Drosophila melanogaster: one gene and its partner. Each later gene encodes a partner of the first gene's protein in a complex. Each region holds a gene or a part of one and is shown on either strand. Other genes may lie near its edges.

Evidence for each region.
Region 2: Prim2 (region 1) and PolA1 share a complex: the UniProt entries of both Drosophila melanogaster proteins name them as parts of the alpha DNA polymerase complex.

Annotation. Positions count from the first base shown.
Region 1 is NT_037436.4:20,359,135-20,363,201, forward strand, and holds Prim2 (DNA primase subunit 2), read right to left. Parts: upstream 2,452-4,067; 5' UTR 2,374-2,451; coding exon 772-2,373; 3' UTR 699-771; downstream 1-698. Other genes in the region: CG5665 (uncharacterized protein), read left to right, coding at 1-686; Toll-9, read right to left, coding at 2,906-3,113, 3,175-3,302, 3,373-4,067. UniProt on the Drosophila melanogaster protein: Regulatory subunit of the DNA primase complex and component of the DNA polymerase alpha complex (also known as the alpha DNA polymerase-primase complex) which play an essential role in the initiation of DNA synthesis.
Region 2 is NT_033777.3:21,665,763-21,673,722, reverse strand, and holds PolA1 (DNA polymerase alpha subunit 1), read left to right. Parts: upstream 1-1,972; 5' UTR 1,973-2,077; coding exon 2,078-2,093; intron 2,094-2,151; coding exon 2,152-2,346; intron 2,347-2,399; coding exon 2,400-3,418; intron 3,419-3,483; coding exon 3,484-6,044; intron 6,045-6,104; coding exon 6,105-6,583; intron 6,584-6,912; coding exon 6,913-7,109; 3' UTR 7,110-7,161; downstream 7,162-7,960. Other genes in the region: CG31176 (uncharacterized protein), read left to right, coding at 3-363; Jhbp16 (juvenile hormone binding protein 16), read right to left, coding at 7,197-7,470, 7,587-7,884, 7,935-7,960. UniProt on the Drosophila melanogaster protein: Catalytic subunit of the DNA polymerase alpha complex (also known as the alpha DNA polymerase-primase complex) which plays an essential role in the initiation of DNA synthesis.

The DNA of each region.
Region 1 (4,067 bases):
CGCTGAACACGGATTTAATTGGAGAGCATATTGGAGTTGGTCTGACCCACCTTATAGAGCTGACCCCACTTCGAAATATTCACTTGATTGGTGGGTTCATAAAGGAATCCTTTGTGTCCATAAATTCTGGTTCTGATTTCTTTGTAGGACATTCACTAGGAGCTCACATTATGGGCACTGCTGGTCGGACTTTTAAGAAGCTTACCGGAAAACTTATACCCAGGATAACTGGCTTGGATCCGGCCAAGCCATGTTTCAGGCGGGAAAAGATTCTGCCAGGATTGACGCGTGGCGATGCCAAGCTAGTGGACATAATCCACACCAACATTGGTATTTTGGCCAAGCGTGGACCCCTCGGTGATGTGGACTTCTATCCCGGCGGAGCACATCCCATCCAGCCAGGCTGCCTAACCATCGGATGCTCTCATACCCGAGCCGTTGAGTATTTCGCCGAGAGTGCATATCCACACCAAGAGAAGAACTTTATGGGCAAGAAGTGCGCTTCTTGGGATGAGCTAAGAAAACGGGATTGTTCTGCTGGCATAGTTTCCCCGATGGGCTATCGAATGAATCCCCAAGCCAGGGGCATCTACTACGTAGATGTCAATGGCTGGCCCCCTTACGGCCGAAACTCGGAGAACACTGTTGATCCTAGGCTTAAAACGTGCTACTTGTGCCGGAGGTGAAGTCCGAACCATGGAATAATATAACTTTTCTTATTTACGATGCTTAAATATATATGTACCTTAGTTAATTTATGTTGTACAACGTTTAGTAATCGATTTGCGTAAGATCTAGATCATCATTGAAGGCCTCGGATATGTCCTTTTGGCTCTGCATGATACGCTCCTGGGTTTCCGCGATTCGCCACAACTCATCGTCATCGTCACCCATCAGCATGGACCGATCCCCATGGCCCTTGATATCTGGACGGATTCTGGCCTTGGGCGGAGCAGAACCATTGGCGCGCTTCTGCCGGTTGCCCATCGCTATCTGGCTCTCCTCGAAGTAGTTGTTGGGGTGATTGATGCTCGGCTCGACGGGTGAATTGTGGGTAAGTTGGAAGTACTTGCCGCATCCAATTTGATAGTGACCGCGGGACACAAAGAACATCACCTCGTCGATGGCACTGGCTGACAGGCCATAGGAGGACAGCTTGGTTTTCAACGAGCCCTGATCCATGTTCTTATACGGACAGCCGTGGCAATCGCCCGGCCCCGCCACATCCTTGATAATCTTGGCGCACGAGTAGGGTGTGTAGTTGACCATGGAACCCTTCTTTCCGTAGTTATGGTAAATATTGTACTCGTAGCTGCGTGTAAACTTATCCGCGTCCATTTTCTTGGTAAACTCTTCGCGCCAGAAGCGCAGCGAATCCTCCAGTGCCACGCCAATTCCTTTGAGAAACAGGCCGTATTGCATTCGGCCGCTATGTTTTATGTGATGGTTGGCACGAATGTGCTCGTGGCACATGCGCATACACAACGGCATGGAGGTCTTGGAGAGCTGATCGAGCGACTCGATGGGCACAGCTGCATCCCGACAAACGGTGTAATCCCTACCGGTATACGAGTTATGTAGAGCTTTAAGTGTGCGGGAGATGCGCTCGTCGGCTTCTACATCCTCCACCATAGTCTTAGCAGCCTGCAGGCCTTGCTCGATCTCGTCCTGCTGCTTGGTGCCCACTAGGGACACCAGGTCGTGGGTGTTAACATAGGCGTAGCCAGCCTTTAAAAAGCAGCGACGTCCGCGCACCAGATCGAGCACCTGGGTGAAGGGCACCTTGTAGAAGTCCAACAGCTCGATCTTCGCCACGCTCTGTCCGACCGTGCTCTCGTACAGGCCGTCCTTGACTTCGTCCTTCTGGGCCTCGGTGAGGGGGTGAATCTCAAAGCCGTTGGCCTCAAGGAACTGCTTCACCTCGAAGCTGCTAAGTGCAGCGAATTTGTACCGGAAGAGCTCCATTTCGCGGGCCACGAACCAGCGCGCAAGGTCCTCGGAGCGGCAGTAGGCCAGCCGCAAGATGAAGTGCGAAAGATAGTCCCGCCTGCGGGTCTGGATATCCGCCTCGTGCTTGGCGCTTCCGCCGGTGGAGCAGAGCCTTAAATAGCTGCGCAATCCCTCGCGGGTCAGGTCCGCACTCACGATTTCCTTCCATTCATCTGAGAGCACGCGCAGGTTCCGGGTGCTTGCGCGATCCAGGACGCGGAGAAGGCGCAAGCGCTCTAGAGCCAGCTCCTCGAATTCGTCTATGTGCACGTCCTCCGTCGGCGGATAGTGGTACAGCATGACGTTGTGCGGGTACTTGGTTTCCAGGCTGGCCACCTCCACCTTCACCTCATGTCTCGCGCGTTTCTTCAGACCAAACTCCATTGTGAGTCGCGGGAATTGCTATAGTAATTTACAATTTGTGGAATGCCCGTTTGTTGTTTTGGCGCGCAAACTACTGATGGCAAATATCAGCTGTGTCAGTTGTTATCGATAGTTTTCTGCTCATTATCGATGCTTGCGGTTTATTCAATTTGTATTTCAAAATTAAACGTTTTTAATTGTTATTATCAGTCAATTGGTACTGATGTATTGATTGTGTGTTGCATTGTTAGATATTTCTTAGGCCTTAGCTTTGTTTACATAGTGTCCAGTAGTAGTAGGTTATGTTTAATATACGACGCTATTGCCTTTGTTAAGATATTTCAAAAACATCACATAAGCTCTTAAAAACCTAAATACCTTTATTTATTAATATATGTTTAAACTATACTTATGTTCAGCAGCAAATTTTGCATATTACTATGATTACTGTGGGGAAACTTTCGTCTTCATGAAAGTGTAATTAAGTAGTTTATATACTATATCAGGTACGTGCACAACTGACTAGAACTCTCCGGATAAAATTACATGTTTTCTAAACACTGATCTCTCTGGAGTTGATCCCTATGACCTCCAGGGATCTCTTCAGACGTTTCCAAAACAGCTTTCGATCCTCCTTGGCCGTCGGCCACTTTATATACGTTTTCACATCCATGAGATATTGCAAAGTCTTGGGTCGCTTTCGCCGTGGAATGTCCTCCAGAAAAACCAGGATCAAGTGCTCCTTGCTGACCTCAAAGATGCTACAATATACACACATATATTGATTTTAATATTTGAATTTTACAGATAAAGATTCCTTACCGATGCTGTGCCAAATACATTTCAAATTGACACCAATGACTCAACAGGAACTTGGAGGATATGATCAGCATAAGGGAATACGAGCGATCCATGCAGGAGATGATGTTATCTAGGATGGTCACTCCAATCTGCATGTGAATTAAGGGTTAAGGTTTCACTTTATTAGTAAGTTAATGTTGTAAGATAAGTACGCTTCACCTGAAAATCTCTTTCATGCAGACAAATGGACACATCCCCAGTTTCCTCCACGTTCGGCAGCAGTTCATTGAGCACCCAGGTCCGATCATTCTGGCAGTAGCTGATGAAGATATCGTAGACGGCACTGGGATCTCTCTGGGATATGTTTGTGAATTTATTCACCGACTCCTTGGACGCACTGGACAACAAGGCAGCGGACTTCAGGGAAGAGTAATAGTAGTGGATGTGCCAGCGCTTCAGATAAATTATAAATCCCAGGATGCAAGCGCCAACTAAGCTGCCCATGACTGCGATCACTGTGTTCGTAACGTGGTGCAACTCCTCGGCGAGGTCACTCATCGACCTGATCTGGCAGTTGAGCTCATCCACCTGGAGCTGATCGGTGTTGTTGAAGCAGTAATACTGACTGGCCTCGTAGTCGAGCAGCTGAAATTTTAGGGTAAGATCTCCGTCAAGGTCCCCTAAGTGGTATGGCTGGGCCGCGGAGCACTTGGCTACCATGTAGTCCTCGGAGGAGAAGCGCAGCTTGATTATATGATTCGCGCGATTGAACTCCCTGATGTTGGAGTAACTTCTCTGCAGCCAGGGAATATAGCGACTCTGCCATAGCTTGCGATCTATAATTAGTGACTCCGCCAGAGATATTACCTCCTCACCTACGGCATTCTGACTATAGTTCAGCAGTCTATAGGAGC
Region 2 (7,960 bases), on another chromosome or scaffold:
AGATACATAACTCCGGCAGCAGCCGCCAATGCAACTGCGACCTCATCAACCTCAGCGTCAGGAGGCGTGGGTGGCACCAACCTGGCGGTTTATCCCACGGCCACCGCCCAGGTTTATCGCTCGAACAACGGCCTGGATGTTCTGGACTGCGCTGGACTGGAGCACCACAACGCGGCCACCACTTCCGGTCACTCAGGCAGCGGCTTCTCCCAGCGCCTCAGGGAACTGGCCGCCTCCGCCGGACTGCTCTCCCTGAAGCCCCGCCAGCCTCTCAAGCCGGTGATCAAGACGCGTGGCTCCCCCGGACCGGAGTTCCCCAAGAAGGTCACCTTTAGTGCCTTTGCCACCGTGCAGGTGGTGTGAAGGGCGTGAACAGTGGGTCTAGCATCTGTTGCATCTGTGCAGGCACAGAGCAAGGTAATAACATTTACTTTTTGTTTTTTAAGTATTTTTAAGAATACTCCAGATCAAGATAATTCTTTGATACAAAATAAACTTTAGAAAAATATGAAATACATTTAAGCAAGCAATGTAATTATACTGGAATAAGAATTGCAACCCACTTTATATTCTGATTTAATATAGTTACATAATAACATAGTATAATATTAAACCAATTGTAAACTGAATTATTCATTGATTCTTTTTCTTCTCTTTTCATTTCAGTATCATCTTGCACTTGTTAACGATTATTTCTTGTTGTTTTTATATTTGTTGCTGTTGTTAAATGTTTAGCCAAAACTATGGAAACCATACACGGAGAAAAATTCCTTAAAACATAAAAAAAAAACATAATAAATTGTTGTGCCATGTCTGTGGCTTGAAATAAAAATGAAAACCATATAGAAATGAATAACACACCCCATAGCTAAAGAAAATACCTCAAGGATCCTAAATAACTGCCCTCCTTTATCTTATTTTATCTGCTTTGCTTAACTGCCCTCCTTTATCTTATTTTATCTGCTTTGCTGTACATTCTGGTAGACTGACATTTTAATATCCTTTCTATAGTTCCTCTCGATCACCCTATCCTAAAACAGTATTTTCCATATTTTCTCATCTTCCGAAATCTTTCCTCACCAACACACCCGAAAATAATTGTAAAATATAACGACTGCAAGTGCAGAAATTCTAAATATTTACTATTAAATTGTAAATATGTACGAATTTTTGCTTATAACAATTAAACAGCAAATATAGTCATAAATATATGTATTCATGTAATATGTAAGTCTGTTTTGTGTATGTGTGTATATATATAAACCATGATTTTGCATTGATAATTATATAGGGTATGAAATCACCTTTCAAATCCACACAAATTTTAATCGAAATTGCTGTATATTGTATTTAAAGTATAATATTATATATATCTTATAAGCCTAATATTATGCATGATAAATAAAATACGATTAAAACCAAACAAACTATTGTCTTTTAATTTGGGAATAAAAACATATGACAAGCACATTAAAAGGGGATCTTCATGGAGCAACTGCTAATGGAAAAGTTTTTCTTTTTGTGATCCACTGCAATTAAAAAGCTGAAGCTCGAAAATGTAAAATCTAAAAGAACGCCCTTTAAATGGTGATCATTGTTCTTTCTTACTTGGTGAATTCATTTCAATTATCAGGTCGGATTTCCCGCCAAAATATAGCAGTCATTTTAAATCGCTGTAACTGTTATGTTAACTATTCGTGTTAACTGTAATCGATCATTTGTGCTTACAGATTAGACGCTAACAGTGCCCAGAGCTAACATAACGCGCTGCCACCTATCGATATATTACCACTCAGAAATTCATAAAATAGAGATGTTACTTAATAATAAAATTGCAATTTGGGATTAAGTTATTGTATGGCTTTTATTTTTTTTAATTTCCTTACATTCTTCCTCTTCTTAACGACACTATCGATATTACATTGCAAAAGTCCGGCAGCGCTTTATGTATCGTAGCTCTGTTATCGATATGTTCCCGCCATTCCCGCTTTGATCATCCTCCAGCCCTGGTCACAAAACAATTTTTGCAAACTGCAGCACAACACGGGGAAATTATTATCAAAGTTAGCCAGTTGCAATGTCTGAATCACCGTGTAAGTTAATAAGATAACTCCCTTAAACATATTTTTTACCGAAATTATAAATTTCCAGCTGAACCGCGCGCTAAGCGCCAGAGAGTAGACAAAAATGGTAGGTTCGCCGCCATGGAGCGACTGCGTCAGCTGAAGGGAACCAAGAACAAATGCAAAGTGGAGGACCAGGTGGACGATGTATACGATGTGGTTGATGAGCGGGAGTACGCGAAGAGGGCGCAGGAAAAGTACGGTGACGATTGGATCGAAGAGGGTAAGTTGGAACTCTGAACTCTATACTTTATAATACTAAATTTTAACTTTTAGATGGTACTGGTTATGCAGAAGATCTTCGGGATTTCTTCGAGGACGAAGATGAGTACTCCGATGGGGAGGAGGATCGGAAGGACTCGAAGAAGAAGAAGGGTGTTGCCCCCAACAGCAAAAAGAGACCACGGGAGAATGAAAAACCAGTAACAGGAAAAGCATCCATCAAGAATCTATTCAGCAATGCAGTGCCCAAAAAGATGGATGTAAAGACCAGTGTGAAAGACGATGATATCCTTGCTGATATTTTGGGCGAAATAAAGGAAGAGCCTGCAGCGACGTCAGAAAAGGCGGAAAAGGTTATAGCCCCAGCGAAAATATCAGTTACGTCGCGTAAATTCGATGCCGCCGCTGCCAAGGAATACATGAATAGTTTTCTAAACAACATCAAAGTTCAGGAGCAGGAACGTAAGAAAGCGGAGGCCAGTAGCGATAACGAGATGCTGGAGCGCATTCTGAAGCCCAAGGCAGCAGTTCCAAACACAAAGGTGGCCTTTTTCTCCAGTCCTACAATCAAAAAAGAGCCCATGCCTGAAAAGACACCTGCAAAAAAAGCCACCGAAGATCCATTCTCCGACAATGAAATGGACTTTAGCTGTCTGGATGACGATGAAAACCAGTTTGATGTGGAGAAGACACAGCAGACCGAGAAGGTTTCCCAAACGAAAACAGCAGCTGAGAAAACATCCCAAAGCAAAGTCGCCGAAAAATCAGCTCCCAAAAAAGAAACAACTGGATCGCCAAAGGAATCGGAATCGGAGGACATTAGTAGGTTGCTGAACAATTGGGAGTCTATATGCCAAATGGACGATGATTTTGAAAAGTCCGTGCTCACCACGGAGCAGGATTCGACAATCTCCTCAGATCAACAGCTTCGGTTCTGGTACTGGGAGGCCTATGAGGATCCAGTAAAAATGCCCGGCGAAGTCTTCCTGTTCGGTCGGACCGCAGATGGAAAGTCCGTCTGTCTGCGTGTACAGAACATCAACCGTGTGCTCTATCTGCTGCCCCGACAATTTGTGAGTATTATTCTACAAATACTTAGTCCTTAGGTGAAGTGTTGTTTCTGAATATATTCTTTTAGCTCTTAGATCCCATTTCGAAGGAGCCCACCAAGCAGAAGGTGACCGTCGCAGACATATACAAGGAGTTCGACAGCGAGGTGGCAAACCAACTGAAGCTCGAGTTCTTTCGATCCCGCAAGGTCACCAAGAGTTTTGCCCATCACGCTATCGGTATTGAAGTTCCGCAATCTTGCGATTACTTGGAGGTTCACTACGATGGAAAGAAACCACTGCCCAATTTGTCGGCTGACAAGAAATACAATTCTATAGCACACATATTCGGCGCCACCACCAATGCACTCGAAAGATTCCTCTTAGATCGGAAAATCAAAGGTCCCTGTTGGCTGCAGGTGACTGGATTCAAGGTGAGCCCAACTCCCATGAGTTGGTGTAACACCGAGGTCACATTGACAGAGCCCAAGAATGTAGAGTTGGTGCAAGATAAGGGAAAGCCAGCGCCACCACCTCCACTTACGCTACTATCGCTTAATGTTCGCACCTCAATGAATCCGAAAACATCGAGAAACGAGATATGCATGATTTCCATGCTGACCCACAATCGTTTCCATATCGACCGCCCTGCTCCACAGCCCGCTTTCAATCGACATATGTGCGCTTTGACTCGCCCGGCGGTGGTTAGTTGGCCTTTAGATTTGAACTTTGAGATGGCAAAATATAAGTCTACCACAGTGCACAAACATGACTCAGAGAGAGCCCTGTTGAGTTGGTTCTTAGCTCAGTACCAGAAAATAGATGCAGATCTCATTGTAACCTTCGATTCCATGGATTGTCAACTAAATGTAATAACCGATCAAATTGTAGCCCTGAAGATTCCCCAATGGTCTCGAATGGGGCGACTGAGGCTGAGCCAATCGTTTGGCAAGCGATTGCTGGAACATTTCGTCGGCAGAATGGTTTGTGATGTAAAGCGATCTGCAGAGGAGTGTATAAGAGCAAGATCCTATGATCTGCAAACGCTATGCAAACAAGTACTGAAGCTTAAGGAATCGGAGAGAATGGAAGTGAATGCCGATGATCTGCTAGAGATGTATGAGAAAGGAGAAAGCATTACCAAGCTCATATCGCTCACCATGCAGGACAATTCATATTTACTAAGGCTGATGTGTGAGCTCAACATCATGCCGTTGGCGCTACAAATCACTAATATCTGCGGCAATACCATGACCAGGACCCTTCAAGGAGGTCGTTCTGAACGAAATGAGTTCTTGTTGCTGCATGCCTTCCACGAGAAGAATTACATAGTGCCGGACAAGAAGCCGGTTTCTAAACGAAGTGGTGCAGGAGATACGGATGCTACGCTTTCAGGTGCAGATGCGACGATGCAAACCAAAAAGAAGGCAGCCTATGCTGGTGGCTTAGTGTTGGAGCCCATGCGTGGTCTCTACGAGAAGTACGTTCTCCTCATGGACTTTAACTCCCTGTACCCCAGTATAATACAGGAGTACAACATATGCTTCACCACCGTCCAACAGCCGGTGGATGCAGATGAGTTGCCCACCCTACCCGACTCGAAAACGGAACCTGGAATCTTACCCCTTCAATTGAAACGCTTGGTGGAGTCGCGAAAAGAGGTGAAAAAGCTAATGGCAGCGCCTGATCTTTCGCCGGAACTCCAGATGCAGTACCACATTCGGCAGATGGCCCTGAAGCTAACTGCGAACTCCATGTATGGTTGCTTGGGTTTCGCCCACTCCCGGTTCTTTGCCCAGCACTTGGCTGCTTTGGTCACCCACAAGGGCAGAGAAATCCTCACGAACACACAACAACTCGTGCAAAAGATGAACTATGACGTTGTTTATGGAGACACAGATTCCCTGATGATAAATACCAACATAACCGACTACGACCAGGTCTACAAGATTGGTCACAATATTAAGCAGAGTGTAAATAAACTATACAAGCAGCTGGAATTGGATATCGATGGAGTATTTGGCTGTTTGCTCTTGCTGAAGAAAAAGAAGTATGCCGCTATCAAGTTGAGCAAGGATTCCAAGGGAAACCTGAGGCGTGAACAGGAGCACAAGGGCCTGGATATAGTACGTCGCGATTGGTCTCAGCTGGCTGTAATGGTGGGAAAAGCCGTTCTCGATGAAGTGCTGTCGGAAAAGCCTTTGGAGGAGAAACTGGATGCAGTGCATGCCCAACTGGAGAAGATCAAAACTCAAATTGCAGAGGGTGTAGTACCGCTGCCACTGTTTGTCATCACCAAACAGTTAACTCGGACTCCCCAGGAATATGCCAATAGTGCTTCATTGCCCCACGTCCAGGTGGCCCTTCGTATGAATCGCGAGCGTAATAGGCGGTACAAAAAGGGCGATATGGTGGACTATGTGATCTGTTTGGATGGGACAACAAATGCTGCCATGCAGCGAGCATACCATTTGGATGAGCTCAAGACCAGTGAGGATAAGAAGCTGCAGCTGGACACGAATTACTACCTGGGACACCAGATCCATCCGGTAGTCACGCGAATGGTGGAGGTGCTGGAGGGAACCGATGCGAGTCGCATCGCCGAGTGTCTGGGCATGGACCCAACCAAGTTCCGTCAGAATGCGCAGAGGTACTTACTATCTTATTACTCCTTACAAACTCTAACCTAACGAATATTTTGGTTATGTAGAACCCAGCGAGAGAACACCGAGCAGTCGGAGGGTGAGTCCCTGCTCAAGACGACTCTGCAGTTGTATCGCCTGTGCGAACCGTTCCGCTTCCAGTGCGTTACCTGTAAGACGGAGCAGCTGATGGCGTCTGCGTACCGACCGGGTCCAAGCAACTCCCACATAGCCGTACTCCAGCAATGCGCTAAGTCCGAGTGCCAAACGGCACCGATTCAGTACCTGGCAAGCGTGCGCAATCAGCTGCAGCTTTCCATGCGGCAGTATGTGCAACGGTTCTATAAAAATTGGCTGGTCTGCGATCACCCGGATTGCAACTTCAACACCCGCACACACTCCTTGAGGAAGAAATCCCACCGCCCGCTGTGCCAAAAGTGCAGGAGCGGCAGCCTGCTGCGTCAGTATACGGAGCGGGACCTGTACAATCAGCTGTGCTACCTGCGATTCATGTTCGACCTCGGCAAGCAAACGCTGCAGCAAAAACGTAAGTAAATACAATGTAGTTATAAGCAGTATCAAAAACTAAAACAATAGTTTGTGTATAAGAACAAAATGAAGAATGTGGAGTACGAGAGAGAAATATCGACACTAAATAACAAGACACATGAAAGGAAAAATCAGTCGAAATATTTTATAGTTCCCGTGATCTCGACGGATTTCAGTAGTTCTTTATGCTTGTATCCTTGAATTCTTAAAAATTGTTGTAGTTTATATATTAGTTCTGACACCTAATACATATATTTCCCTTAAGATTGGTATCATTAAGTTTTACAGCATTTCATATTGAAATTATATTTTGTCCATATTATCAAGCCACCCTCACACCGGAGCTGGAGCAGGCCTATCAACTCCTATACGAAACGGTGGATCAGCAGTTGCAGAGCTCCTCCTACGTGATCATCTCGCTAAGCAAGCTCTTTGCCCGATCCCTGGCTCAGATGTCCCTGCAACCGTCCGTGGCGCAGCCCCAGATCGAAGCAATTCCGAGTGCTTTGGCGGATGTGGTCTAAGTGTTTAATTAACTAGCCTTTGTTATAAGTTCCATTAAAAATACTACAAAAGAGATACAGAGATACAGTATGGTTAACTAGATGAGGTCACGTGGCGAGGAACTTCTCGAGCGGAAAGTGCCGGAAGGACTCGTTGAATATATCCGTAAATGCCGTGCTAACCAACTCGTTAATCATCGGCTTGATGAAGGGCAATCCCAGCTGCCACATGCTGTTGATGACTCCATCGGCCAGTTGGTTGAGGGGCTGTCCCTGCAGCAAGTTCTCAATGTGCAGCTCCATTCCGCCGATGCGGTCCACCTCCACATGGACCTTGATGAGTGAGCCCGGACCGCCGATGCGCCTAACGCTGGTGGTTTGACTGAGGAAGTAAATAAAGTGAGCGATAGGTTGTCATGTAAGCCAAAAGCTATCAACAATACTGGTGTTTGCAACACAGCTTGGGAAATACATATTTCCATGCAACTCGGTGCCCACCTGTAATCGTAGAGGGTGAGGTTCCAGTGGCCTTTTCTGTTCATCTCAGTACCCAGCATCTTGGCGGCGAACTCGTACTCGCCCTCCAGACTTTTGTCGGGGAAATACTGAGTGTAGACGATGCGCTGGTCCTCTGGATCGGCATGGAACTTGGTCACCTCGGATCGCGCCCATCCGTACTCGGATACATTGCGCAATATCAGACGAAAGCTGCCCAGACCCTGTGATTCACCTCGTCGCAGCTCAACGTAGCTACAGTGGTGCGGGTCAAAGGGCTTGATGTTGTAGTCGGGCACACCTGAAAGAGTTGCTCCATGATTGCTCGCCCGTAATCCACATCTCACTCACCTGTTGTGAAGTAGGCCCTTAGGTCG